4 linked regions of the Drosophila melanogaster genome follow. The protein of the gene in region 1 purifies or fractionates together with the protein of each later gene. This does not show direct contact. Each region holds a gene or a part of one and is shown in the gene's direction. Other genes may lie near its edges.

Evidence for each region.
Region 2: the proteins of sau (region 1) and Rab5 purify together in Drosophila melanogaster (affinity purification with western blotting; 2 studies listed by BioGRID, with this or other methods). This does not show direct contact.
Region 3: the proteins of sau (region 1) and Chc purify together in Drosophila melanogaster (affinity purification with western blotting; 2 studies listed by BioGRID, with this or other methods). This does not show direct contact.
Region 4: the proteins of sau (region 1) and alphaCOP purify together in Drosophila melanogaster (affinity purification with western blotting; 2 studies listed by BioGRID, with this or other methods). This does not show direct contact.

The regions. Positions count from the first base shown.
Region 1 is NT_033779.5:2,223,802-2,232,065, forward strand, and holds sau (sauron), read left to right. Parts: upstream 1-2,540; 5' UTR 2,541-3,267; coding exon 3,268-3,480; exon of another isoform or gene 3,481-3,504; intron 3,505-3,562; exon of another isoform or gene 3,563-3,803; intron 3,804-5,464; coding exon 5,465-5,592; intron 5,593-5,655; coding exon 5,656-5,774; intron 5,775-5,836; coding exon 5,837-6,012; intron 6,013-6,076; coding exon 6,077-6,325; 3' UTR 6,326-7,298; downstream 7,299-8,264. Other genes in the region: papi, read left to right, coding at 1-725, 778-884, 943-1,439; CG15387 (uncharacterized protein), read right to left, coding at 1,997-2,200, 2,258-2,404; Sec24CD (secretory 24CD), read right to left, coding at 8,247-8,264. UniProt on the Drosophila melanogaster protein: Phosphatidylinositol-4-phosphate-binding protein that links Golgi membranes to the cytoskeleton and may participate in the tensile force required for vesicle budding from the Golgi.
Region 2 is NT_033779.5:2,358,474-2,367,351, reverse strand, and holds Rab5 (Rab5), read left to right. Parts: upstream 1-2,078; 5' UTR 2,079-2,291; intron 2,292-2,397; exon of another isoform or gene 2,398-2,515; intron 2,516-2,630; exon of another isoform or gene 2,631-3,039; intron 3,040-3,847; exon of another isoform or gene 3,848-3,947; intron 3,948-4,570; exon of another isoform or gene 4,571-4,677; intron 4,678-5,496; exon of another isoform or gene 5,497-5,613; intron 5,614-5,766; 5' UTR 5,767-5,923; coding exon 5,924-6,192; intron 6,193-6,259; coding exon 6,260-6,380; intron 6,381-6,550; coding exon 6,551-6,719; intron 6,720-6,782; coding exon 6,783-6,883; 3' UTR 6,884-6,896; intron 6,897-6,958; 3' UTR 6,959-7,786; downstream 7,787-8,878. Other genes in the region: Axud1 (AXIN1 up-regulated 1), read right to left, coding at 1-1,031.
Region 3 is NC_004354.4:15,831,827-15,837,486, reverse strand, and holds the start of Chc (clathrin heavy chain), read left to right. Parts: upstream 1-1,996; 5' UTR 1,997-2,200; exon of another isoform or gene 2,201-2,259; intron 2,260-2,574; exon of another isoform or gene 2,575-2,666; intron 2,667-2,732; exon of another isoform or gene 2,733-2,855; intron 2,856-3,115; 5' UTR 3,116-3,322; coding exon 3,323-3,364; intron 3,365-3,787; coding exon 3,788-3,995; intron 3,996-4,233; coding exon 4,234-5,660. UniProt on the Drosophila melanogaster protein: Clathrin is the major protein of the polyhedral coat of coated pits and vesicles.
Region 4 is NT_037436.4:1,639,797-1,647,327, reverse strand, and holds alphaCOP (coat protein (coatomer) alpha), read left to right. Parts: upstream 1-2,128; 5' UTR 2,129-2,158; exon of another isoform or gene 2,159-2,266; 5' UTR 2,267-2,370; coding exon 2,371-3,316; intron 3,317-3,372; coding exon 3,373-6,131; 3' UTR 6,132-6,262; downstream 6,263-7,531. Other genes in the region: CG17249 (uncharacterized protein), read left to right, coding at 1-1,346; CG13919 (uncharacterized protein), read right to left, coding at 1,391-1,786; Bgb (Big brother), read right to left, coding at 6,692-7,333.

The DNA.
Region 1 (8,264 bases):
CCCGTGGTGAAAGTGGAACTGCAGGTGCCCCAGAGGCTGGCCAGCAAAATTAACGGACGCGGCGGCGAGCTCCTCCAGGAGATCCGGAGCAGTTCGCTAGCCAAGCTGAATATCGATTTAAATGGGCGGAATGGAAAGGCCAAGATTACGATTATCGGCAATCAAAAGCAAGTGAACATAGCCCGAAAAATGCTGGATGATCAGATAGAGGAGGATGAGGAACTCGTGCGGTCCATGGAGGAGGTGGAACAGCGTCGGGAGCCCCGCAGATCTCCCACCAACAGCATTGCGTCCAGCATGTACTCCTCCCAGACATCCCTAAGCTCTCACACTCAGCCCAGAGACAAGCTAATGGCCTCCAAGGGCGAGGGTAAGCCAATGGAGGTTTATGTCTCCGCGGTGGCCTCGCCCACTAAATTCTGGGTTCAGCTTATCGGACCGCAGTCCAAGAAGCTCGATAGCATGGTCCAGGAGATGACCAGCTATTATAGTAGTGCTGAAAACAGGGCCAAGCACGTGCTGACTGCTCCATATGTGGGTCAGATTGTGGCAGCCGTGTTTAAGTTCGACGAGAAGTGGTATCGCGCAGAAATCGTGGACATTATGCCTAACCAGTACAATCCAAAGGAGCAGGTGATCGATCTCTACTTCGTGGACTATGGAGATAGCGAATATATTTCGCCAGCTGATATCTGCGAGCTGCGCACTGATTTCCTCACGCTCAGGTAAGCAGTTCGACTGATTGGATAGACATAAATTTATATTTCACTATTTTAGGTTCCAAGCCGTTGAATGCTTCTTGGCCAATGTAAAATCTACCATCCAGACGGAGCCTATTACGTGGCCAAAGTCTTCAATCGCAAAGTTCGAAGAGCTGACAGAGGGTATGATTTCAGCAACAGTTGCTAGATATATTTTTGACTAAACACCGAACATTTGTAGTGGCACATTGGAGAAAGCTGATTGCTCGAGTGGTGACCTACAAGGAGCGTCCACGGGCAACCACCGCTGTAAGTGCTGCTGCCAAGGAGGGAACCCCGCTGCCCGGAGTGGAACTATTCGATCCAGCCGACAACTCTGAACTAAATATTGCCGATCTGATGATCACCCAGGGCTTTGCTCTGCCCCTGGACGATTCGTATCCAGTGCGGTCACGCTCCTCGACGCCCTCAAGTAACAGCGACTCCACCATTGAGGAGTTGTGCGTCAGCAATCCAGTGACTCCGCTTACGCCCCACTCACCTATGTCGATGTCCATTGATGTTGACAGCATTACGCAGGCGGAGAACGAGCACCTCGCCCAGCAGCTGCAGCATTTGCAGCATAAACTGAACGGAAACGACATAAAAAACATTAATCCGGCTAAACTGACGGCTACAGACCTCGAAAACGGGAATAACAATAATGCCAGCACCACAAATGGTGCTAGCGCGCATTAGGATTTCACATTGTTACTAATTATCCTCGCCTAATTGTTTATAAGATGAAGGCTGGACGAGCAGCTCACTACTTGACGTGTACATAAAAGTATAGCTCTTAAGGAACTTATTGTATAGGTACGAAAGAAAACTGTTTAATTTATCGCCGTGACTGATCGACATATCCTAGATCCTAAAAGCTGACGATGGAACGGCACAGATCCTTAATTGTTTATAGCAACCTTTGCCATGTTACTTATTGTTAGCAAGAACAAGAAAAACATTTGTACATCAACAAAAAATACACAAAAAAGATCACAAACTTATCAAAAGAAATGCATTTTATAAGAATATCAAGCTTAAGTCTATTTTGGTGGCCTGTTTCAGAAATCTGTATTAGAGAAGTATTTCAATATTCTTTGAAAATAAGATTTTCTAGATGACGTTAAGGCATAATTGAAAATGAATATAGTTTCTTCAAATGAAAAGGGCTACAAATATTAAAAGTCGCTTAAAGTATATTAAAAAACCCACCGGGGGGCAGAATTGCAGTCTTGTTTGGGGGATTTACCCCACGCTTAGATTAGGATGTCGTTGGTGGTGTTTATAGCTATGGGGGGCAGGTATATGGCGCGGATCTGACTGCGCAGGCGTACGATTTCCATGTCGTCCCTTTCCATTTCTCTGATGAGCTGGGAGAACTGGACTAATCCCTCGCGGTTTCCAGGAAACCCATGACCCTTAATGACCTCCAGTTGGAGTTGCATCACCAATGGAAAAACCTGCAATGTATTATGTTAAACTATTTGGTTATTTGTTTTGATTTGCTTGGTATTTACGTGCTGCATCATGAGAATCATCTCTTTTCCAGCGGAAGCCTTTGCCTCTGAGAGTTTCTTCGAGTTTTCCGGCTGATTTACACAGCGTATTATGTCCATAAGAATTTGCTTGGCAGTATCACTGTTGAAATTGGTCAAGTAGGACATTATAAACGTTTTAACGGCAGTGTTTGTGACGAATTTAGGCAAAATGCAACAAATTGTAGTAGGTTTTATTTTGTGTTTCCGTTAGAGATGAGTCATACAGCGATTACAACTATCGGACAAACTATCGGTTCGGATTCATAACATTACCAAACCCTTAGTATGGACAAGGAACTGTAATATCATTCAAACAAAAACTTTACGATTAAATAAATTAAGCTGAATTACAAAAAATTAAGAGTAAAAGTTAAATTAATTTCGTTTTAACAGCACCTCTAGAAGCAAAACGTTATCCAACACTTAAGGTCTGGAAAATTGCCAGTACTGAAAAGTGCGGAAATCATGTCACGTCGGAACGTCGACAAAAGACACAAATAATAGGAAAAAGCTTATTTCGCGCAGGCACTCGCATATTCCCAGTAAATGCAAGGCCAATGCAAATGCACCATTAGTACGGGCCACCAAATTGTAAATCAAACCGTCGAGTTCCCAGCGCAAAAACGCCGAGCAAAGCAGCAACAACGAAACGCAGTTTAGGGCCTGCATTTTTGCGATAGTGTGAAAAGTGCGTGTGTGCAAAAGAATACAAAATAAAGGGGGCGCAAAAGAGTCAGTGAAAACAACAACACACAAAAACACAAGACACAAGTACACAGAGAAAAACGCAAACACCCGCACTCGCGCAAACAGACACACACACACACTGTGAAACTCCCAACGTCGAGTCAGCAAATTGTGCCACACACACAAAACGAGGAAAGAGGAAGAAGAGCAGCAGCAGAAAAACATAGGTGCTCCGCTCGCATCCCACATCTCCAAAACTCCATCGATCCGAACTTCCCGACTACCCAACCCAACTCTCCGGAATGAATCGCTCCGACGGATTGGTGCGTCGCTCGGTGAAACCCCGCGAAAACGGTGGGGCGGAGGGTGGGTTGAATGCCAACACGCCGGACGACAACCAGGATGCACTGGACAACCTAAAGGACCAGGAGGACAATATCGACGATGGCGACTCCAAGGAAACACGACTAACGCTCATGGAGGAGGTTCTGCTGCTGGGACTCAAGGACAAGGAGGTGGGTGTGCTCCTTATCTCTTATCTGCTTGGGATGCACTAATTAATTGGTTTCTTTCGCAACATAAGTGCTTCTTCTTCACCTGTTAACCGACGTCTCTCTCTCTCTGTCGCTCTCACGATTTCTCTCTTTCGCAACCTCTTGCTTGGCCCCAAGTGCAACGCAGTCCATCTTCCAGCAGGGGCGTAGTGAAAATTGGATACAGGGGGGTAACTTATCACTTCAGTTATGGGGGCAACAATGTTTATCTGTCCTACAGATAAACATTTTATGCCATGTCTTAGCCACTTCTCTTAGCTTTTCCAGTTTGTTAAGCAATGCACTATGAAATCTTTTGACCAGCCTGCTGACTAATGCGCAATCAGTGAGACTGCCAACACCATTTTCTTAACCACTTTTGTTTTTGCATTAATTAATAGTGTGCTCCATCTGTTAAGGTCTAATCAGCCGTTCATTCTAATCTATAGAACCCATTACTTGCCCTTTGTAATACTTTGATGTACTTCCCAAATAAGTGATGATATATTTATATATAGTATATAATAGGTTTATTTTATGTGTTACACTATCGCGCAATTGCTTCCAGTGCCAAATCAAAAAGATTCTTAGAATTGTTGCCAACGTTCTTAGTTGTTGGAAAGATAGCGCTCTAATACTTCTTCGGTTGGCAGTTGTGGCTATAAATACATACATATCTCTTCGAGAACTTCACTCCGCGCAGCACGGAGAACGGTTTCGTCAAACGAGTTTTCCAATAAGTGGTTAATTTGCATAGGTTTGTAATATTCATAAATCTACGTATAGCGCGGGATGATGTCCGTAAATGCGAACCATCATCCATACGTGACCCATTATGGCGAACAGGCAGATTCGCATTTCTCCATTGAATTCGGTTTTTATATTTCACTTGGCACACAGCTTTATCGCTCAATTGCTGTTCGCTTGTACCACATAGGAATGCACACATGTGCCTTTGTGGCTGGCACCACGTCTATTTGTTTTCATCATTTTGCCCGCAGTGTATTTGTGTGACCACCCACACCTCCATCCCTGCCACCTCCTCTCCCTTCGCATAAGAGGGATACGAGCTGGAAACAGTGGGACGTGTTGCCCGCTTTTGTTTTACATTCCCCTTCCGAGCGCTCTTATCGCGAAGATTTTGTCCATTTGGTTAATTGTTTGAGGAAGTACATACTATCAAGTGCTGCTCTCCTCTGCCTAGCTCTCATCCGTTTCGGGCTTTTCTTATGTCAGTACGTCACTCATTTTCGAAATTATACAAAGTACTTGGCTTCTACCCACACCATCCATTAGGAAAATTTCAATATCTCGAACTGCCGAACTGATAAGCGACGTGTTCTTTGCAAATGATTCACTTTTATACCTTTCGTTCGGAACGATTCCTTATCAATCATCTGAGCGATTGTTATATAAATTATTTTAAAATCGTGAAATGGCATTGAAACGTGGTTGAGGTATCTATCTATACCTTCCAATTATCATAGCTTTTCAAGCGTTAATAACAAGAGTAATTTTTGTAATTGATTTTTTATGTGGTTATAACATAACTCTTCTTGTTCGTTTTTTCATTTATACTAGCTAGATAAGCATTGTATTTTTTAAATTGACAGTTCATACACTTCTGTGGGCAAGGCCTAAACAAACTCAAGTGTTTAATGTTTTAACAACTGAATACTTTCGTCTGGGAGCTTTACGACCCCGGCAACAGGGTAATTATTCATTTCTTTTACGCCCAACACAAGTGAAAAGGCCAAACCATAGACTTGCTCAAATATATTTCAAAACCTTGAAACATGAGACAGTAACCATTTGTTAATGAAGTTTGTACTTACATTTATGTTAGATAGAATTTAATAAAATTTTAAAAAATAAACAAGTAACGCATTCACACATTCTTATTTTTAGATGCCCATCCAGGCCAATCAAATAGCTTGAATCTAATAGCATTTTTAATTACTTTCAGGGCTACACATCTTTCTGGAACGACTGCATATCAAGCGGCTTGCGCGGATGCATTCTCATAGAGCTTGGACTGCGAGGTCGCGTGATGATCGAGAAATCTGGAATGCGGCGACGTGGTCTATGTACAAGGTATGTATAGAAATCTAGTTTCCACATCCTTTCAGAAGCATGCTAACTTCAATTCGCCAACAGGAAATTAATACTGAAATCGGATCAGCAGACGGGAGACGTTCTACTCGATGAGGCACTTAAACACATTAAGGAAACAGATCCCCCGGAGACGGTGCAGAGCTGGATTGAATATCTTAGTGGTGTGTATTTAGGCGCCTGCCATTTCGCCAAGTATGTTTTGTATAACCTATTGTTGTGGCAGGTGAAACCTGGAATCCGTTGAAATTGCGCTACCAACTGAAAAATGTACGCGAACGTCTGGCCAAAAATCTGGTGGAGAAGGGTGTGCTCACGACGGAAAAGCAAAATTTTCTACTCTTCGATATGACGACACATCCGCTGAGCGACAATGTTGTCAAATGTCGCCTGGTGAAGAAGGTGCGTAACTAGACTTGGATATATTCAAGAATTCTAAAACTGAATCCGAAATGTATGACTTCAGATCCAAGATTCTGTGCTCTCCAAGTGGGTCAACGATCCACAGCGCATGGACAAGCGGATGCTGGCGCTTATCTTCCTGGCGCACGCCAGCGATGTGATCGAGAACGCCTTCGCGCCGCTGAATGATGACGACTATGAGGTGGCCATGAAGCGGGTGCGGGAGCTGCTGGATCTCGACTTCGAAGCCGAGTCGGCCAAGCCGAATGCGAACGAAATTCTGTGGGCGGTGTTCATGGCGTTCACGAAATAGACGATCCTCTGATCCTCTACGCTCCTCTCAATAGCACACACACACACACAACACACACCCCAACACAGAAATACAGACCCACATCTGGAATACATTTTGCTGCTTTTGTTTTAGAAACTTTGCTGTGAGTGGAACCGAATCGGGCGATAGGATTTTCTTAAATGGCAACCACCCCAAATATCTGTTTCAGTAATATATATTTTTTAAGCGAGACTATAAAGCAGCCATAATTCCTATTTAAATATACATATGTTTATCAACACTTCAATAATACCAATCAAACGCTCCATTGTCCTTTAATTTTTTCCTGTTCTGTTGAGCATAATAATACATGCCAATGTTTTGCAATCATAATCAGTAAGTTGTGTTCCACGACACATAGAGTTTAGTTGATGATTTCTCTGGCAATGCAAATCAAAATGTATGATGGAAAATTTAAAGCTGCAGCATTGTTTTTGTAATTATATATCTAGCACTAATTGTAAGCGCCAACAAGAAAACTTTGATAAAGTCTGGGCAAGCTGCGTGCGATTGTCTATTGTCAAATATCCTATATATATTTTATCAAAACTTTTCAATTCTATTTTTGATTGTCAAGTATTTTCGAGCCCTTTCCATGTATTCGATTGCGCGTAGAAAATCAGTTCAAAACGTTTCTCGAGCTCCGCAATTTTACCTTAGTACGTTCGACCTTAAGTATGCACCCACCCACATGAACAGACAGACATGCAGACAATTTGACACGGAGCGACATTCAATCTAGGCAATGTTTTAATTTAAATTGTTATTGAATTTCGGGAACATTGAAGTTGAAAAACCTTTTCTAACTGCTAAAAGAAAAATAAAGAACGACAAGAAGTGGACAGCAAGAAAAGAAAAATTATGTAAATGTAAACTGTGCACGTCAAATAATACTAATTCTTAGATATTTAAAGGCCTAATAAAATACAAATATAAAATATATAACTGACGCAAAATTGAAAGTTTATTGCAATTTCGGTTGTACCCCTCCATAAATCAGAGGAAAAATATAAAACATTTAATGAAAAATGGGTGATGAGTTTTAATAAAAGGGGGAAAGCAAAAGTGGACAATCGTCGGAGGAGAAATAGGATTCTTTCCGGTGTGACGACCAATCCGATTTAACTTATCTACTTGAAAGCATAGCCCAATTTTTGATTCGCTTTTTAATACAGTTTTTATTCCGTTTTTCATTCTCAATAAATGTGTTTTTGTTTTGCAGTGTTTGCATTTCTTTCGATAGTTGAAGGGGCAATATACCATATAAGTCGAGTAATTCTCACACGAAACATTTAGGTTATAATATAATAATCTTTCAATGACATAAAGTATGATAAAAAGCAGGGCGCAGCGCACAAATTATTGCAAAAATACATTAGGCCAAAAAGGATGTGAACAAAGAAGTGCTCTTATACTATCCGTTAAATCAACTAGCAGTTTTCAACTGTGGAAAATTTGCAAGTAATTTGTAATTACAATTAAACATATTCATGGAATTTTATAAGAGAATAATTTTTTTCTAATTTTGCAGATAAGCAGTTGCCTCGTTTAACAAATGTTTCGTTTCTAGCGCAGCCGATCAAAAAAAATACATACAAATATATATATATAAAGTAAAACAAAGCAAAATATGAAAACTTTAATAAAATTAATGGAAGAATTGATACGCTCGAAATGATAGCCATTAATTAATATATATGTATATGTATTTTGATGTAAATATAATTGAAGTTCCAACAGCTTTCAGCGCCAGTTTCTGCTTCTGATCCTAAACCCTTTGCATTTCTTATTTTCCGAGGCGACTGCGCATGGACGACAGACGACGCATCCGAGCCCTGTTTTGGGAATAACTGTCCGCCCATCGCTGCTCGGGCTTGTATGTGCCGGAGTAGCCGGCGTGCTAACTCAGCAGATCCTT
Region 2 (8,878 bases), 130 kb from region 1:
GTCATCGTCTTAAAACCTACATGCCTTGCACCCATGCCCAAGGTGCATCCGCCCGCCGTTGGTACACAACTGAAGCCCTGTTGTCGTGGGAAGTAGAACACCTTCACCTCGTCAAAGTTGATGGAGCGCTTAGTCCGCTTCTGGGGGGCTACTGGAGGGGCAGACATGTCGGGCACCAGATCTATAGCATCGCTTTCCGAATCTTCGAGTCTCCGTTTAAGGTTGGACCTTATGGGCTTCGTTTCCACCTTTTTCTGGATTTCCGGCTCGGCTTCTTTCTCCGCCTGATCCTTGAGTAACGCGGAGGTTTCACTTCCTAAACCAGAATCAGACCCACCATCTCTAAGCTCATCCTCTTTCGGTTTGGCTGGCTGGGCAGGCTCCAATGATGCTTGGTTGTTGGACACCACCTCCGCTGATCTGGTGGCCATTTCCGTCTCATTGTTCAACTTCAGCCAAAGAAGTTCTCCACTGGTGTCGACCTCCTCGTTTGTGGTGACCGACGCGGAGTCAAGAATGTTGTCAATTGCCAGTGGGTCCTCGGAGACTGCGTCGGAAGCTATTGAAGAGTTAAGATCCGCATCGCCTAGTACGATTATCTCATTATTAGGATAGTTCTCCAGCTCAAGGAACTGCTCCTCTAGTTCGGTGTCCGCCGGGCCGTGAGCAAAGTCCGCCAGTTCATCATCGAGCTGCTCAAGCGGCATGGGTAGGGAAGCCAACGCCTTGGCTTTCGCTGCGTGCACCTTGCTGGCGTCAATTATGGAGGTTTTGATCTGCCTCTCGATGTCGTCGTCGTCATCGTCCAGGTGGGGAAATATTTGCAGCTGATGCTGCCGCTCCTCCGGTTCGCTCTGATTATCCTTGTGATCCAGATGCCGCTGATCCTTCCTTTCGCCTTCGTCGTGGGCAGTTAGGCTGGTGGTCCCCTCCCTTTGGCCGGCGGCCTTGTTTCCTGATGGGCTAAACATATTGGAGCCGCTCGCATTTTTTTGTATGTACGTAAATATTTTTTTTATAGGACTAAACATGCTATCCGTGTCGAGGTCCCTAGATCATTGAGTGTCCTTTGGTCATCTGCAAGAAAGTAGGAGGAAATGGTTTTACATAATGTTGCTTGGAAATTTCCTTCGCAGGTAGCGAAAACGTATAGATCAGGTGTGTATGTACAGTGTCCATTCGAGAGGGAGAACTGCCGGGAATGCGAAACTTTATTTCTGAGTAAATTAATTACACCTGTTTACGTTTCGTAAGAGCCCCTGACCAGGTCCTAGATCCAACAAACAAATTGCCAAAAGCCTAATGAGTGTACCTTTTACAACTTGTGTAAATATTTAGAAATATTAATTTAGCTCAAGTATTAATTTTACTGCTCGCAAGAAATCAATTGTTTTCTGTGTACGTGTAATGGTTTAAAAATATATATCTTTCGCTTTAATGTTCCGCTCACTTGTATGTTCGCTTTTTCGAATGAGCACTGTGCTTGGATGGGTGTGCGTGTGCAGAATCCTTTGAAATCCTGGATCCCCGAGAATTTCGCACGCTAGAAAGGAGACCACCCGAAAAGTAGACATACCGCTAACCAAAATCAATATTGATTAGCTTCTTTTTTTGGGGGCCCACCTTTGCGCTTATATTTTCGCAGCCAAGCCAACGGCCGGACTCGCAAGATCGGTGGGATTTATCCTTTTTGCAATTTGCGTTGCAGCTGCGATAAAAAACTGAGAGCGAGAGAGATGACGAAAGACGCAACTGTGTGCGTGTGTTTGTGCAAGTCTGTGCGAGTGTGTGCGTGAAGGAGGCGAATCAGGACACAAAGGTCGGTATTCTTTTATTAACACAATCACTTTACTATGCGCCTGGCAACGCCCAAAATTATGATTTATTTTTTAAAACTCATTTCGCACTTCCGTAAACTTTTTCTTAATTTTTCACTTCTTCTTTTCTCGCAATGTTATTACTTCTTCTATTCAGTGTGCCCGTCGCTGGACCCCTGCAACATGACAACAGTCCTGCACCGATCCAAATGTACTTAAAAATACCAGGCAAAAATTGATAAAAGTGTATACGATAGAGCGTGATAGATAAATGTGACTCACTAGTAGATGGTGCGTGTATTTGCTAAGAAATAATTCAGAAGAAAAATTAAAACAAATTCACCAATGGAGCCGGTTCCTGCAAGCTCATTGATTACATAAATTCATAGTAAGACAATTATTATGTAAAATATACCCGTTTTACGATTCATTAGTTGACTCGTGCAGCAAAGAAATATGTTTTGTATATTCACGGTAAGAAATGTTTATATTAAAATTTTATTTATATTGTGTAATATGTTGGTCCCACTAATCGATAGAAATATGTATCGTTGGTTGGAGCCTCTGCTAACGAGCAGAGCTTAGGATATGTTTGGCATATTCCAACAGTCGTCCTGCGGTCACACATAAAATTCCAAGAAAGTTGTAAGTTAAGTTTACTAATAAACCAGGCGATAATTTCGCTAGCCATTAGCAAGGCAAGGAAGCTAAAAAAGACAAAAATCTTTGGCAAATCAATGGTGACGTCGCCCAGGAAGTTAATCGACAAAAACACGACCTGCGACGCGACGATAATTTTGCGAGAGGCGAGTCAGTCGCTATCTATCTCCCTCTGCGCTCGTTTCGTTTCGTTTCTTGGGGCTGTTTTGGGGCACACAATTGAAAGGAAAAAACGTAAATGCAAATGGTCAACTGGTCTCCAAGTGCCGCGTTTAGAAGAGTGCGTAATTCGGCGGAAAGTCGAGTGCTTTTGCGTTGTTGTTTTCGCTCACCCCTCGTAATTAATTAAGAAAGTTGTGTAAAATTTTTTCGCCCCGTCCGCCATAGTGCGAGTGTAAGAGCGAGCGCGATAGATGGCCCTGAATTTTGGGTGCGTTGCCCATGAGAGTGGGCGCTAGAGCGAGACGGCCGTACGACCTGCTCCAAGTGCAGCGTGCACAGTGGGTCGCAAGGCCTAAGATAGTTCACGAATCTAATTGTGAAGAGATAAAGAACACTGCAGGTGCACTCTGGTATGGAGTAAAGCTGGCAAAATCGGATCTTGGCCCGCATTATCACCCAATTTATCAGCGCTTTACACGCCAAAACGGATCAAAAATCGCGGTTCTTTGTTCCGCCTGTTTTGCGTCTTTAGTTATGAGAGAGAGTGTGGGTGTGTGGTGTGTGTGTATTTATCGGCAATCCGTTCCCTTATCGTGCAAGTTTCTCAAAGAACTGTCTTTGTCTCTGATGTTTCTATAAAGCCCAAATGTAAACAAAAACGCATCCTTCTATTTGTTTATTCTAGACCTTTTCGCTCGCTTTGCAAATGGAAGACCCGCATTTGTCAAGCTATACATATTTACGGAGTGATGTGTGGTGTGACAGTAAATATAACGCTAATTGTATTCTCCGTTTTCTAGACGTGCTTCAAATATGCGTGCTGAGAAAATTGCACTTGTTGACTTTTCGAGTGAGGCAATTCCACAGTCAAGCTCACGTGAATAGGGCCATGTTGATATAATGAAAATGTTTTAAGTTTCCAAAGGTGGATTTAAAACTTAATTCATGCTTAAAATTAAGCACAAGCTATGTGGACGTTCTTCTTTATTTCATATTTATATTAAATATCTTTAAAATCTAACATAAGATTTGTAACTTAATTCCACGTATTACAGCTATTTGATTGATAAAGGCTGTGGCTACGTATGGTTGTTGTTCTCGCTCTCATTCTCTTTTTTGATTCACTTGCATTTGTATTAGTCGCGTGAATGACGCATCGTCAGCTGTTCTAAAAGAACCGTAATTTCCTGAACGTTGTTTTATATTTTATTGAATTTTCCGCAGACGGGCGCGAAAGTCACTCCTGTTGTCCAAGTGACTTTAAAGTTTAATAAACCGCATTAATTACGGTTCGAATTAAAATTAGCGGTGAGTTATTTACTGACAGCTGTCCGCTTCTCAAGGAAAATTTTGCATTGGCTTAGTGAGACACACTGCTTGTTTTAATTAAATTTAAAGTGCAGTTTTCGTTTTGGCTTAGACGCAAAAAACAGCAAAATACGTCATTCGCTGGATAATGAAAAGTAATTGTAGGCGAAATTTCTTTATCGCAATGAGAGTGCGGTTTTCGAAAAGAGAGACCAAGTTGTCGGCTTCTGTATGTGTGTGTGACTGTGCACTTGGCTCCAAAGTCTCCGGGAAAAAAACAATTGAATGATCGGAAGGGAGGGGGAGAAACAAACAATTGTTGACTGACTGCATTTTTAATGGCAAAGAGAGGGCCTGCATATTTCGCTCTCTCCCTCATTCCTTGTTAATTTAATAACGCCGCACAGCGTACATGTTTGTCACGCTTTTACTTTCTCCACGTCTCCCCGTTAATTTATTTTGCATTGATTTTTATCACAGCTTCCGCCCTCACTCTGTGAATTCTCTTCGCTCTGCGCTCACTTCTCTCCACAAAGTAAACAAGACTCGTGTAGAATTCCATACCCCGATCTTCGTAGATTTATCTCCACTGTACAGTCTGGCTTCAATGTGTTAATTAATTTCTGTCGGAATTCTGAGATTCCCGTCGTCGGTCATAAAAACGAAAAGCATGTGAACGATACTTTGTGAAGATTTGAAAACGACTTTAGCTTAGTTAATATATGCAACAGTAAATATTTTTAAACAATTTTAATGATTACTCTCTGTTTAAAACGATATCTTGTTTCGGGATCAACGTATCTGTGGGACATCGGTAAAAGTGTAGTGGCCAATGGGGCGTATGATTCATAAAAGTGGCACTGATAACAAAAATACTGTGAATGCCACACGCATTACCGCTGAATAATGCGAGGCGTCCTCTGTGTTATGTACTATTATACACATATGTACACAAATTCACCCGCCCTCGAAATATTTTCCACCAGAAAGTGTGTGAATTATCAATTGCGCGGTAGCCCCTAGAGGAGCTGCAATAAATATCTTTTACGATAACTTAGATTTCCCGCACAAGGGACCGATAAGAATGTTGTAGTTTCGATTACTTGTAAACCCCTTATCTGCCACGAAGAAAGGGAAAAACAATAATTGCGCCTAGAAAGCGCATATAAGGTTTCCCCTTTGTGTTTGCCAAAGTATTTTTAGTTGTTGATGGATTTGTATTTGCACATGTAATTAAGAATGTTTGTGTTTGTGGATGTTTGAAGCAGTCACGCAAGGAATTTTCTAAACACAACTCATAACATTGAACATCTAATCGTGGAACAATTGCTTTCACTGATTTTCCTATCACAAGCTTATCAGTACTATTATGTTGCCAAGTGACACAAATAGTAATGATATGTTTTCGGATGTGTAACACTTATAAATATAAATATAAATAAACTAATATAAGCTCTAATGTGAGTTTTTGTAGGGCGTACTGCTTTCAATTTCAATTGAATTTATCAGTGACCATTGGCAGACGCTTCCCTTTTCCTCTGTTTCATTTACTGATGGAAAACGTCGGCTTTTTGTGCATATTCTCGGATATGTACATATTGAACTGGGCTTGTCGACGGCGTCATTAAACAAACAAAGGCGCCACACAATCATCTGATGGTTTTATGTGGGTTTTATATTCATCCACATGGGCAGCATGTTTTCAAGGGGACTGAGTTTAAGCCCTAAAAACGTACCATTATGGCAGAAGAATTGGAAGCACTCAATTTCGTTTTTATCCGTCTCCATTATAAATATGTACATTATTTGTATTTTGCAGATTCCGCATCCACACTCAGCAGCAATCTTAGCAGAAAGACTTACTCAGCAGAAGAGGGAGTGAGTTGCAGTAACCGTCCGTAGAACCAAATATCAGTTGCCATCTCAGAGGAGGAAGAGCGCATCCACATTCGCATCCGATCCAACCCGAACCGATCATGGCAACCACTCCACGCAGCGGCGGTGCCAGCGGCACTGGAACGGCGCAGCGGCCCAATGGCACCTCGCAGAACAAAAGCTGCCAATTCAAGTTGGTGCTCCTCGGCGAGTCCGCTGTGGGCAAGTCCTCACTGGTGCTGCGCTTCGTCAAGGGACAGTTCCACGAGTACCAGGAGAGCACGATAGGTGCGGCCTTTCTGACACAGACTATTTGCATAGAGGACACTGTCGTTAAGTTCGAGATCTGGGACACGGCTGGCCAGGAGCGGTAAGTATCGCTGGATAGATCACCCAACTGAAAGCTTCATCTGACATACTTATATTCGCTTTTGTAGGTACCACAGCTTAGCTCCCATGTATTATCGAGGAGCGCAGGCCGCTATTGTCGTCTATGATATACAGAATCAGGACAGTTTTCAGCGTGCGAAGACCTGGGTCAAGGAACTGCATAAACAAGTGAGTGTCAGCGGGGAAACTTGAATATCGTGCAGAGTGTTTTAATATTATAATCATTTATATTATTGCTCATGAAGTGCCTCAGTTCAATATTCTTAACTCGAGAAATTCGTTCACTTGATACGTAAATTATATTACATAAAATATGTATTAATAAAACTTTTTTCCAGGCCTCACCAAACATTGTCATTGCGCTGGCCGGCAACAAGGCAGATTTGTCAAACATTCGCGTCGTAGAGTTCGATGAAGCGAAGCAATATGCCGAGGAGAACGGGCTGCTGTTCATGGAAACCTCCGCCAAGACGGGCATGAATGTGAACGACATCTTCTTGGCCATTGGTAAGCTATAAGGAGCCGTCGTAAACGCTTCGAAAACTTTGCTAATCACTACCCCAACCACAGCCAAGAAACTACCTAAGAACGATGGCGCCAACAATCAGGGAACCAGCATAAGGCCGACTGGAACCGAAACAAATCGACCGACGAACAACTGCTGCAAGTGATGTCCCTTCGTAGGTAAGTTAATTGCGTTGGAAATACGGTTGCATTACTAACACAGTTTTTTTTTGGCTTTACAGAAAATGAAATTTCCAACGAGAGATTTGAAAAGTTTATGCTGATAATTATAAATAAAAAAATTATTTAAAAATTCAACAGAATCAGAAAGAAATACCTAAAGCCGGCTCTCGCAGGGGACGAATTTCATTTGAGAGCCACGAAACCAATAATGATAAAGACCACATAAGAATTATAAGCATTAAACAAAGGAGCTCCCATTCCCAACATAAACGAAAGTTGCAATTAAAGAAAGTTAGTTACAAATTCCCACACCCGATTTCCCCCATTACGCTCGATATCTGTCCAAAAAATATACAAGCAAACTGACACTCACGCAATTGAGCTAAAATATCAGTATAATTCCAACATAAACCATTTCAAATAACAACGCAAATTAATAATGAAAACTAAACATGAGAAGAAAGCGCAGGGTTTTTGGAGATTTCATCGTGTCGTAGAAAGTTTGAAATCGTATTGTATAAAAAAAAGAGAGAAACCCCGAAACCAACTAAGCGAGCAAAGAATATTTGTAAAGATTACATGTCGTGTAAGATTCTGAGCATTAAGTAAGGGGCAGATTCCAGTTGCAGTTGTTCTCAGCAGCGTTCCAAATAAAACAAACAAAACAAACAAACACCACAAGGAGCAAATGTTCAGGCCAGCGGCTGAAGATCCTCGCTCGCCTCGGTTTGTGGCAATGTGTGTGTCTCTACGGCTCCGGAGCTCGGACTCCAGATCCGGATACGGACGCGGATGATTCGACTCCGGGTCGCGGCGGACACGTGTGATAGTTGCAATTTATATAAATTATATATACACATATGAAAATGAAGGAAAACGAAAACCACAAAAAAAAAAAGAAAACCAATTATGCATACTTTTAGATTTTTTTATTTTTCAATTTCGCCTTGCGTTGAACTATTTTCCACATTCTAGCAACAATCGAAGATTTAATGCTACTATCTTTAAACGTAAACGAGAACGGAGATACTATCGTAATCCATAAAAATTAAACTTACATCTAGTATGCAATTAAGCGGAGAGGAAGTAAAGTGAATTAAAATAAATAAATAAAACAAATCGAACAACACAATACCGTAAACAACTTGTTTAAATCGTTCCACAAACATCAAAGATCCGATGCATATTTCTTTCCAATTCGTAATTTTTATGTTGTCTGTATGTATTTAAATTTAAAATTTATAAATTATAATAAATGAAAACATCGTATATACTTATATATATATATATATGACTGCGTATATACATATATGGTCATTCGATTTGAATCGACAATGAGCTCACAATCGCTTTTGTATTATGGGTTTTCAAAATATTAGCTCATGGCTTTATAAAAAAGGTAATTTAACTTTTTTTTAGCAGAGAAGTTCCTTTGCGGCGGAAAGACATTGGAAAATATGTTGCATCACCACTTCCCAAGACTCCCATGAAAACATAAGGCAGATTTTAGTTTATTAACTTTTCTAATTCCCATTTTTTTATTTGAAATTATAACTGATTAAGATGTCTCTCGAAATAAATACATACTTAACTTACAGTTTTGGTTACAATTTCCATTTGGTTTCGTATTGTATAATTGTTGTATATATATTTTTGTTTGTATCTTTCCGCTACTTGGTTTTCCATTTATAAGAATAATTATATTGTATGACCGCATGGATTTTCGCACGCGTCTTGATTTGTTGTTAGATTAGTCGACTTCGAATTGAGTTAGTTCAAGATAAATTATAGAGAGTATACGCTAACTTACTACAAGGCAACTAAATGGCTTCAATCAGGAGTGTTTATGCTATTTAACGTACAGGGATAACAAGGATTCGAATATCCAACTAGCTAAATTAGGTTTAATAATTTGAAAAACTTAGAATGACAGAAGCGAGGGCAGTTTTGTAGTCTTAGTTTAGAAAGTTGAAGATATA
Region 3 (5,660 bases), on another chromosome or scaffold:
AAGTGTCCTCTGATCGGTGATCGTTACACAAACCGCATCCTGCGCAGTTACTTTTTATGGGACAAAACCCCATTGTGTGGATGCTACCAAATGTCCTGGAAATCGTAACGAATCCACGCATTCCGACCAAGGTATCCCCGCAGCTGTCCGGCGGAATCGTGTGATCCTGTCGCCCTGCCATCGCCGGCACCACAAAGTTCGCGCCCATGTCGCGGCCGCTGTAATCCTTCGATTACATCGTTACCTCACGGCGATAATCTTGGCGGGGCTGTATTATGGCGTTAGAGTGGGCGTGGCAACATGGATCTCAACTTGGGACTCTCAACCTTCTAGCTTTTATAGTTCTCGACGTTCATACGGACAGACGGACATGACCAGATCGACTCGGCTATTTCTCCTGATCAAGAATATATATATATATATAGATTATATGGTCGGAAACGCTTCCTTCTGCCAGTTTCAACGAATCTTACCCTTACGAGTAACGGGTATAAAAAATTGGAACTTGCATTATTATTGGCTCCCACAGAGAAGGGTATATTATTTGAATGACAACAACGTTTCAATGTAAATATATATTAAAATAATCTAGGTAAACATGAAAACGAAGAAAAATAAAAACAGAATTTAGTGGTATCTTTATGTTATCAAAATGAATATGATTGACAAAGCTCAGAGTCCGCAGCATTCTGCCATTTATCCTGGGCTTCCTAGATCCCAAAACCGAGTCGTAAGAACGTCTGTATATACTGTAGAAGAAACTTATATTAATAAAAGAATTTCCCTGGGAAACGAGGAGTTTATCAGTTTACCTTATTCTGTTAGCGACGGATCCTCTCCCAATGGCCCTGGGTTGAGGAATCCTGGGCGGGTGGGACGCCTAGCAGGAATGCGGCAGACTGCGAACGGCCAAAGCATCGAGCACTGGTCAAATTCGGACAATCCAGCTGGGTTTTTTACCACTGCAATAATGAAAAACTTTCAGAAGTCCTCAAGGGATTGCTCATGGTAGAGAGTGACATCGCTTTTGCTTTTAATAAAAGAATTTCCAAATTTTTGTGCCTGCAGGACAAAAATGATTATGTGTACCTTTTCGACAACTTGCTGAGGTGCTGGACCCTTCGCCCGTTCGAAGACTACCGCAAATCTGCGAGCGGGACGCCCGCAATATTCGTCTAGCTCCTTGCCCCATCCTTTGTCATGCCCTTGATCAGTCAAGTCAAGACGGTATAGATTCTATCGCCAAAAGGTGCTTCAAAATCGGATACTGCTGCTTACCTCATAGATTAAGATTTTATTGTTGGGACTCGGTTTTCCAAATGATAAAAACAATAAAAAAAATGTTTGGAGCAAATCCTAAAGTTGTTGTTTCTGTAGCACATTGAGTGTAAATGTCAAAAATAGTATTGAAAAAGAACAAAGTTAAAATCATCGCCTACTTAAAAATAGTATTGCATAGGAACAATGTTAAAATTATCGCCTACTTATTATCCAGCACTTAAGCAAGATAATTAATGTATATATATTTTTAAAAATTAACGAAAGAGAATGCTTTAGTCCCGTTCTCCGACTATCAGATACCCGTTACGCAGATAGTGTGAGTGCAAACGTGAAATTTAATAATTTTTTCTGGGGTGTGTTCTGTTACTCTACGAGTAACGGGTATAATAACTTCACATTCCAAATTAAATTGCTATAAAAAATAGATTTCCAATTAGAGAATATATCCAATTGGATCACTCGATAACACCTGTTAACCTTACGTATGTATTATGATCTAAAAACTTGTTATCGGCAAAATATAAATGAAGCTGATAAAATAAAATAAATTTGTTGTTCCTTACAAAGTTATACTACATTTACCTAAATAATAATTACATTCGAATATTATGAATAAATACGTGTAACAGTAGGATCGTGCGATACAAATATCGATTCGAATGTTGAATGTGGTATCGATGTTTTTTCACTCCACGCAATTGCATATTTGCCGTATATATCGGCATTAATTGTATAACTTTCACACCTCTACCTTGTCTTGCAGTCAGTATTTAGTCAAACAAAAGAAAAATAAACTACATTTGTTAGAGCTTGATAAGAGCTCAGTTTGTCTTCAGTGTGTGTGCCCGTCATCTAGCAACAAACCGACGTGATTATTTCGAGTATGATAGTACTTAGCGTACATTTTTGTTAAATTGCAGTAAGCATACGGGCTCCAAATATCTTTCGATTCATTGGGAAAAAATGTAAAGTGCTAAAGTGCGTGTGTGTGTTCGCTTGCAAATGCAATATATACATACAAATTTTGTTTATTTGATGTAAAAGCATCCGATTAATTTACCGTTTATCTAATTATGTTCTTGTTTATGTGGCATATTGCGGCACTGCAAGTGTGCGCGCTCATCTGTGAGTGTGTGTGCGCGAGTGCTGCTGTGTGCGTGTGAATTGGGAATTACCGCTACTCAATTTGATGTATATACACCGAATTTCGTCAATTTCATGGCATTGTCCCATTGTTATCAGGCGCAAAACAGTGATATTTAAATGCGATTTTCGATTTTCATGCACACACAGGGGGAGGGAAAACAAGAGCAAAATTGCTGTACATGTATTAGTCAGTGACTAATTGTTCAAAGCGCAACTCAACATGGCTGACTTTTTCTGTGGTGAGCAGCGATTTTTGATGATAATGCTGCCTCTTTTCTTTTCAAATTCTCTCTCTTGATTCGCTCTCACTCTCTCTCTCTCTCCCTCGCTCACCTCAAATAAAATAAAGTGCTGGTAATTTTCCCGTCGTAACGGCAAGTGCAAAAACGCAAGAAAACGAATAAAAATACCGATACAAAGGATTAATCGTAGGAAATAATTTCGTCTATATATTTTCTTGCACAAAAGCGATTGGGGATACAATAAGAGACTCGGTGTTTTATTTTAAGGGCGTTTACATCCATATGTACATACATATAGGCCTTTATCTTTCATTTTTTCATCCGGTGACGCTGTCACTTTCTATCAACAATAAAATAACGCCCACAATTTGATTTTTCCTCATTCTTGCCGCATCAGTGCTGTCCATAACTACATGTTTTTCCAAAATCTTTTGTCTTTCGTGCAGCTAAACGTTCCAATGGAAACCGAATCTTAAACCAGAAACCGACTAAACTCGAACGCAATTAAACAACAATAAATCCTCGAAACAAATCAAATACAAACTGTTACCAAGTGTGCAATTCAAGAAAACATCGTATTGGCATTGTTTTCGCAAAGATACATTTACGTTGTAAAGGTCTGTCAATAACTAGACCTCACTGTAGTAGTAAAGATGACGCAACCACTGCCCATCCGCTTTCAGGAGCATTTACAGGTGAGTAATATTAAATATTTTGGATCTACCATCATTACATATCCACATACGTACAACCCACCAATATGCCACGATTACCTACGATTATATCCGATTCATAAGCTCCCCACTTTTCTTATGAAAATTTCACGGTTTCCAGCTCTAATTCAACGTGTAAACAGAAAATATGGGGGCTTAGGTCGAGTTTCTACTTTGCTATACCTTCTATTCAAGTCTGTATACAGTGTATTTTCTATAGAACTAGTTATAATACAAATTTACATCTAAACTTAAGCAAAGTATTGCGAATATTTAATAGTAAATGTGGGTCAATCCAGGCCAGTTCAATAATTAATAATGAATGATTATATTGTGTAATGAGTGCGTATGCTATGATTTTCGATTTATCAATTAACACACATTTTCAATCTCCACTACGGACAGCTCACAAATGTCGGGATCAACGCCAATTCATTTTCATTCAGCACGCTCACGATGGAATCGGATAAGTTTATTTGCGTGCGGGAGAAGGTGAATGATACCGCCCAAGTGGTCATCATTGACATGAACGATGCCACCAATCCCACGCGGCGTCCCATCTCAGCGGATTCGGCTATCATGAATCCAGCTAGCAAGGTCATTGCGCTCAAAGGTAACTGAAACCGATGGTCCAGTCGATCAGAATGTCCGAAGAGGATCAGATTTTAGCTTAAAGTAACGTAGGCTTAGTAAACAGGTCCGCTTGTTATTACAACGTGTCTAGAAAACTTAAAACCTCACTTAAACTTTAACTTGAATATCAAATAGTAAGGAAAGAGATCAAAGTTTTTTTCCGGTCGACTGGGATAATGCATTTTTGAACATGTATAACTTTAGAATATTTCTTTTAGCGCAAAAGACGTTGCAGATCTTCAACATTGAGATGAAGTCGAAGATGAAGGCGCATACCATGAACGAGGATGTGGTGTTCTGGAAGTGGATCTCCCTCAATACGCTAGCTCTGGTCACAGAAACGAGTGTGTTCCATTGGTCCATGGAGGGCGATTCGATGCCGCAAAAGATGTTTGACCGGCATTCATCGCTGAACGGTTGTCAAATCATCAACTACCGCTGCAATGCCTCCCAGCAGTGGCTACTCTTGGTCGGCATTTCGGCACTGCCAAGTCGCGTTGCCGGTGCCATGCAGTTGTATTCGGTGGAGCGTAAGGTGTCCCAGGCGATCGAGGGGCATGCGGCCAGTTTTGCCACGTTTAAAATCGATGCCAACAAGGAGCCGACCACGCTGTTCTGCTTTGCAGTTCGTACGGCCACTGGGGGCAAGCTTCATATTATCGAAGTTGGTGCTCCGCCGAACGGCAATCAGCCGTTTGCCAAGAAGGCTGTCGATGTCTTCTTTCCGCCGGAAGCACAAAATGATTTCCCTGTGGCTATGCAAGTCTCTGCCAAGTACGACACCATCTACTTGATAACCAAGTATGGATACATACATCTGTATGACATGGAGACGGCCACGTGCATATACATGAATCGTATATCGGCCGATACGATCTTTGTTACCGCACCGCATGAGGCAAGTGGTGGCATCATTGGCGTCAATCGCAAGGGACAGGTCCTCTCCGTGACCGTCGACGAGGAGCAGATCATTCCCTACATCAACACCGTTCTGCAGAATCCCGATTTGGCCCTTCGCATGGCCGTGCGCAACAATTTGGCTGGTGCCGAAGATCTCTTTGTGCGAAAGTTCAACAAGCTCTTTACAGCCGGCCAGTATGCTGAAGCGGCTAAAGTTGCTGCCCTGGCACCCAAGGCCATTCTGCGTACGCCACAGACGATCCAGCGTTTCCAACAGGTGCAGACACCAGCTGGCTCCACGACTCCGCCGCTGCTGCAATACTTTGGCATTCTCCTCGACCAGGGCAAGCTGAACAAGTTCGAGTCTCTCGAGCTGTGCCGTCCCGTCTTGCTGCAGGGCAAGAAGCAGCTGTGCGAGAAGTGGCTGAAGGAGGAGAAGTTGGAATGCAGCGAGGAGTTGGGTGATCTGGTCAAGGCCTCCGATCTTACACTTGCCCTGTCCATCTATCTGCGCGCAAATGTGCCCAACAAGGTTATCCAATGCTTTGCTGAGACTGGGCAGTTCCAGAAGATTGTACTCTACGCCAAGAAGGTCAACTATACGCCCGATTACGTGTTCCTGCTGCGCTCCGTGATGCGAAGCAACCCGGAGCAAGGAGCTGGTTTCGCCTCTATGTTGGTGGCCGAGGAAGAGCCACTGGCGGACATCAATCAGATTGTGGACATCTTCATGGAGCACTCCATG
Region 4 (7,531 bases), on another chromosome or scaffold:
TGGAAGTAATAAAACCCCAAGCCAAGCCGAGCACACCAAGTGAAGCGTATCTAGCTCGGGAATCAACCAGTGGTCACATTAGTGATGAAGATGACGACTACGTTCCCCAGGAAGTGTCCCTTCAGGAGTTAAAGCCGCCCAACGGAAGACTGCTATTAGCCTTACCCAAACCAAAAGTCACTGCTCCCGCTAAGGATCTGGAAAATGAGGATGTGGACAACCAGGTTACTTCCGCCTTTGCCAACCTGCCCATGCCACGAACAGCAGCGAAAGGAAAAGCCATTGTAGAGGAGAAAGACGATGAGTTTCTGCACAAAAAGGCGCTGCCCGTAGAAATAGAGAAACCTCCACCGCCGCCAGTCAAGGGAAAAGTAAAAATCAGCATTCCTTCACTAAGAGATTTCTCAGATGTAGACCAGGAGAAAGCTGACAGGGCTAAGAACAAAGTTGATAAGCCCAATGTACCCAAGGGATCGGGATTGTTGAGTCTGCTGCCCCAAGCAAAGTCGGAGCGCAACTTCTCCAAGAACTCTTCATCCGCGGTAGCCTACCCATCAGCCAGCACTACTCTTGCTTCCAGTCTAAGCAATAATCCTGCGCAGCCTCGAGCAGCACCAGCTTTTGTTCCCGATACAGTTAAGCAGCGACGAGCTGCACACAACACCGAAGGCGTAGATGGCCCTAAGGCCGGGCACAAGAAGAATCCTGAGACAAAAGACGCTTTGAAGTCAACAAAATCCAAACCTATAAGTAAACCCACTTCGCTGGTAAATGCCAGCGATAGTGAAGATGATGACGAAGATGGCACTGGAGACTTTTTCTCCCTGAATTCCGAGCAAAAGCTGCCTGAGGTGAGCAGCAACGAGATTAGCGCTCTAGTGGCCAAGCGAGCGGCCAAGATGGTGGAAGCCAGTAGCAAGTACCTAGAGGAGGTAGCCGAGAAGGAAGCAGCCGAAGCAGAAGCCGCCCGACTTCAGGAAGAGCAGTCTCAGATTGCACAAAAGCGCTACCATGAGCAACAGTTAAACGCAGAGGCCATGGACGCATTGGTGGGCAAAAATGCCAAGCGCCGGCGGAAGGAGGCCAAGGAGATGCAGGTGATCGACATATCTGGGTCTCAGGTGCTACCTGATCGCGAGGAATGGATGCGATCGGCTCTGGCTTCGTCCACCACCTTCCAACCGACCGGCGTGCTGACGGACGAGGAGCCGGTGGCAGGGACTCGGCGCAAGCACCAGATCACCTACCTGGCGCACAAGGCGAAGGCCAACGAAGCCGAGCTGCAGGCCATGTGGTCGGCCAACCGGCAGACCCGTCGGGCCACCCAAAGCAAATACGGCTTTTGAGTTTTCACTTTATGTACACCTAATCCTACAATATATGCTTAATATTACTGTATCCAGCCCTCTCGTTTTCCCAGCCTGCTGCCAACATAGAAGATGGCGGTGCTCAGCAGCAGGATGACCGGGGCAACGGTCACGTATATGGGAATCTGTTGCGGGTACTCCAGCGTTAGGCAGATCATCACTTGGGAGGCGATGGTCAGCAGGACGCCGGCAATGTTCCATTTGTAGAGGAACAGGAGATCCGTCAGGCAGGTTAGGTTCCGCCACTTGCGGATAAATTTAATGATCACGTAGATGATAATGATCACATCGAAGAACCAGAGTGGCGTAAAGGTGACGAACCAATTCCAGGTGGTGCGTGGGTCCAGGCGGAGACACAGAAGAATCAGGAAGACCAGGACGATAAACCAAGTGAAGAGCGCCCGGTGTGCCAGTGTCATCTTTGTCACTTATTTATATATTTTCCATGGTATTACAGAAAATAAACAAAGCGAAGTTACCGTGAATAGAATGCACTTTGTCCAGTGCTGTAAAACTACGATTACAGTGGTCACTAAAAGTGTTCGTAGAAATACATTTACCAACTCAATTTTCGAATATTATTGACGAAGATTAAATATATTCAAAAATATCACGTAAAATCTGTATATTTAACTATATAAAGAAGACTGGAGAGCATGATAATTCATTCATATTCATGTGTGTACTTTTGAAAACTTATGGTTCCCAGTGTATGCACATCTGCCAACGCTGGCAACACTGACTGGGTCGCGAAGAAGAAGATAATTGACGTGTCACAATTTCGACGATTGGTTGGTGTTTTTCATAAAATTAATTGTTGGCAGTATATTACGTGTTACTTGTAGCGTATCAATAAAATGGGTTTGTTCTAACACCCACCTCTTGATGTTTTGATACAGGCAAGTGCTCGAACCAGCAAAAAAAGGGCGCTTGACGGATAAGCCGACACCTAGAAGTGCATCCAATTTGAGACACCTACAGGCAGAACAGAAAAAGTGCCACCATGCTGACCAACTTCGAGTCGAAGTCGGCGAGGGTGAAGGGCCTCTCCTTCCACCCTAAGCGCCCCTGGATCCTGGTCAGCTTGCACAGCGGCGTCATCCAGCTGTGGGACTACCGGATGCACACGCTCCTCGAGAAGTTCGACGAGCACGACGGACCGGTGCGAGGCGTGGCCTTCCACCAGCAGATGCCGCTCTTCGTCTCTGGCGGCGACGACTACAAGATCAAGGTGTGGAACTACAAGCAACGCCGATGCATTTTTACCCTCCTGGCCCATTTGGACTATGTGCGCACGGTGGCTTTCCACCACGAATACCCATGGATTCTGAGCGCCTCCGACGATCAGACCATACGCATCTGGAACTGGCAGTCGCGCAACTGCATCTGCGTGCTGACGGGCCACAACCACTATGTGATGTGCGCCCAGTTCCATCCCACGGAGGATCAGATCGTTTCTGCTTCACTCGATCAGACGGTGCGCGTGTGGGACATTTCGGGGCTGCGTAAGAAGAACGTGGCTCCCGGGCCCGGTGGGCTTGATGACCACCTAAAGGGTCATCCGGGTGCCACTGATCTGTTTGGCCAAGCAGATGCCGTGGTCAAGCACGTGCTCGAGGGCCACGACCGTGGCGTCAACTGGGCCAGTTTCCATCCCACCCTGCCGCTGATTGTCTCCGGTGCCGATGATCGCCTTGTGAAGTTGTGGCGCATGAACGAGTACAAGGCTTGGGAGGTCGACACCTGTCGCGGTCACTACAACAACGTGTCCAGCGTGTTGTTCCATCCCAGGCAAGACCTGATTCTCTCCAACGGCGAAGATCGCAGTATTCGCGTCTGGGACATGACCAAGCGCCAGTGCCTCTTTACATTCCGGCGGGACAACGAGCGCTTCTGGATACTTACAGCGCATCCGACCCTGAATCTGTTTGCAGCTGGCCACGATGGAGGTTAGTTGATTTCTTTTAGGAATAGGAATTTTTTGTAATGATACATATTCTTTCAGGTATGGTGGTCTTTAAACTGGAGCGAGAGCGTCCTGCATATGCTGTCCACGGGAATATTCTCTACTACGTCAAGGAACGTTTCCTTCGCAAACTGGACTTTACCACCACTAAGGACACTGTGGTTATGCAGCTTCGACCAGGCAAGTCGCCGGTGTACAGCATGTCGTACAACCCAGCACTGAACGCCGTGCTAATCTGCACGCGCACCAACAACCTGGAGAACAGCACCTACGATCTTTGCCAAATCCCCAAGGACACCGAGAGCCAAAGTGAGTCGGACAGCAAGCGAAGCTCTGGAATCACGGCCATCTGGGTGGCACGCAATCGGTTTGCAGTGCTTGATCGCAACCAGCAGTTGGTGATCAAGAACTTCAAGAATGAGGTGACCAAGAAGTTGCCAACTTTCTGCGAGGAGATCTTCTATGCCGGTACGGGAATGCTGCTCATTCGGGACCCTGAGTTTGTCACACTGTACGAAGTTCAGCGCCTAGTCTCCGTTGGAAGCATTAAACTGGCCAAGTGCCGCTACGTGGTGTGGTCTCCGGACATGTCCTTGGTCGCTCTACTCTGCAAGCACTCGGTTACAATCTGCGACCGAAGACTTCAGTACTTGTGCACCGTGCAGGAGAACTGCCGCGTGAAGTCTGGCGCCTGGGACGAGTCTGGAGTGTTTATCTACACCACTAGCAACCACATTAAGTACGCCATTACAAACGGGGACCACGGCATCATCCGTACGCTGGACCTACCCATTTATCTGACACGCGTCAAGGGCAACCAAGTGTTCTGCTTGGACCGGGAGTGCCGCACCCGTGTGCTCCACATCGATCCTACGGAGTACAAGTTTAAGCTTGCCCTGATTCAACGCAAGTACGATGAAGTACTGCATATGGTGAGAAATGCCCGCCTAGTGGGTCAGAGCATCATTGCTTACCTGCAGCAAAAGGGTTATCCAGAGGTGGCACTGCATTTTGTCAAGGATGAGAAAACCCGATTTGGACTCGCTCTGGAGTGCGGTAACATCGAAATTGCTCTCGAAGCAGCCAAGGCTCTCGATGACAAGGATTGCTGGGATCGCCTGGGACAGAGTGCGCTGCTCCAAGGAAACCACCAGGTGGTAGAGATGTGCTACCAGCGGACCAAGAACTTTGACAAGCTTAGCTTCCTCTACCTGATCACCGGCAACTTGGAGAAGCTCAAGAAGATGAACAAGATTGCCGAGATTCGCAAGGATGTTTCCGCCCAGTACCAGGGTGCCCTCCTTCTCGGTGACGTCAAGGAGCGGGTAAACATCCTCAAAAACTGCGGACAACTTTCGTTAGCTTATCTCACAGCCGCTACTCATGGATTCGATGAGCTCACTGAGTCCCTGGGCGAATCGATAACCTCGCAGGGTAACAGCCTTCCCGAGGTGAATCCCAATGCCCAGTTGTTGCAGCCACCAGTGCCCATCCAGCAGCTTGAAACCAATTGGCCGTTGCTGTCCGTGTCCAAGGGCTTCTTTGAAGGCGCCATGGTCACCAGGGCTGGCTCCAGTGCCACTGCCCGACAGGCGCTGAACATCAACGCCGATGCTGCACTGTTGGACGAGCATAATGGTGGTGGAGATGGTTGGGGAGCGGATGCCGACTTGGGACTAGATGAAGACGGAGATGACGAGATGCACGACGCGCTGAGCAACGATGGCGATGGTGGTGCGGGTGGAGAGGAGGGTGCCGGCTGGGATGTGGGCGATGATGACCTGGTTGTGCCCGAGGAACTGGCCTCCAAGATCAAGGCCTCAGCCCTCGACAGCAACTACTATGCGGCTCCCAACAAAGGCTTGTCTCCTGCCCAACAATGGGCCAACAACTCGCCTCTGGTCCTGGACCATGTCAAGGCCGGATCATTCGAAACCGCCTTCCGTTTACTGCACGATCAGCTGGGAGTGGTCAATTTCCAGCCATTCAAGACACTCTTCCTGCAGAACTACGCCTGCTCTCGAACGAGCTACACGGCCAATCCGAATCTGCAATCCCTAAGTGGTTACCCACTTCGCAACTACTCCGAGACAAACATCAAGCTGCAGCGTCCTGCGGTTGGCATTAAACTGAATGATTTGGTGGCACGCCTGCAAGCTGGGTACCAACTGACAACTTCTGGAAAGTTCTCCGAGGCAGTAGAGAAGTTCCATTCCATCTTGATTAGCATCCCACTGCTGGTAGTGGACACGAAGCTAGATGCGGCGGAGGCCCAGCAACTCTTAAGGATCTGCGCTGAGTATATCGTTGGCCTGAAGATGGAGACTGTGCGCAAGGGCATGCCCAAGTCGACGCTTGAGGAGCAAAAGCGTCTGTGCGAGATGGCCGCCTACTTCACGCACTGCAAGCTTCAGCCCGTGCACCAAATCCTCACCCTGCGTACCGCCCTCAATATGTTCTTCAAGCTGAAGAACTACAAGACGGCCGCCTCATTTGCCCGTCGTCTCCTGGAACTGGCGCCACGACCGGACGTTGCCCAGCAGGTGCGCAAGATCCTGCAGGCCTGCGAGGTAAATCCCGTGGACGAGCATCAGCTGCAGTACGAGGAGTTTAATCCGTTCACAATCTGCGGCATCAGCTGGAAGCCACTGTATAGGGGTAAACCCGAAGTGACCTGTCCCTTCTGCTCCTCCTCTTTCGACCCTCAGTTCAAGGGCAATCTCTGCACAGTTTGCGAAGTGAGCCAGATCGGCAAGGATAGCATTGGCCTGCGCATTTCAAACCTGCAATTCCGCTAGGACGGACTAGCTTGTCGCTTTTAATATAAATGTTTCCAACACGCCGAGCGAGACCCCATAGTTTAGTTTTACACGATCCTTGCTTATTATGTATAAAGTTCAGTATCTGTATATTATAATGCTATAAAATCAAACCAAACGACTTGTTTTCTTGATCGATACCTAGCCTCGGTAGGCAATTCCCAGTGAAGAGTCTTAGTCACTCTGCTTAAAGGTGGAAATTCCAAAATGAACAATGCCATATAGATTAGTAATTATGTATTTTAGTTAAAGATACGACACTAATTTCACACTAAGTTGTAAGTATAATACCATAAAAGCATACGTAAAGTAAGCATTACATCTAACACTAATCTAGGAGCATAATTATTCGAGCGTGTCTAACGTAATCGTATTGAAATCTCTCAAGTGAAAGCCCTCTTAAGGGGTTCGGAGCATTCTCAGTTGTCCATGAAATATTGAGTATTCGCGAATTGAGTCTCTAACTGCTGGTGATGCGTCTGCTGCTGCTGGGGAGGCAGCTGCGGATGGGACGGCCCAGGAGCCGTCCACAGGTCCAACTAACGACGCCACATGCTGGCGCCAACGCCAATGCCTCCGGAGGCCACGCCCCGTCGCACTGCCTCCATCTCGTCCTGTCGATTGTCACGGTAGGCGCGCTTAGTGTCCTCGAACTCACGCAGTCGCTGGTTGTAGCGATCGATCTGATCCCGCAGAATGGCGTCCTCGTGCATGGCGCGCCGCTCGTCATACTCCAGACAGCCAACTCCGTCCAGTCGTTCCAGGTCTATCCATCCACGGAACCGGACACAAACCCCGTTCATGATAAAGTAGGACTTGATGTGCACCTTGCCGTGCTCCTTGTCAAAGTCGCACTCCTTGTCGTGCAGGTACGGGTTCTGGTTGGCGTTGAACACCAGCTGCAGATTGGTGCCCGATGCCACGAAGCTGGCCTCCGTGTGTCCTTCGCGACATCCGTTCATGAAGCGCACCTGCCGCTCCTCGATGCTTCGTTCCCGATAGCCCGTGTACCGAACCTCGCTCTCCCGACTGAGCCTCCGGAAAAGTTCGTCGCTCTCGAACTTGGACTTCTGGTCCGGGACCACACGAGGCATCTTGAAGATGAAGCGCGGCTTTGGCTGTTCATACAATCCGATGGTGTCGTAGGGTATCATATTGGCAAGTGCCGCCTCGTTCATCATTTTAACGGGTTTTCGCGATTCGTCCGCTCGATGGAACGCTGAATAGGGTATGTTTCTATGGGTGCTTCTGCAGACCGCTGCGTGCACACAATAATCCCTGGAACTCGGTACCCTGGATGGGTTTCTTTTGGTCGCTCCTTCGACGAGCCTTCTGCGTATACACAATAAGCTCTTGTATCTTAGCACTCTGAATGCTAA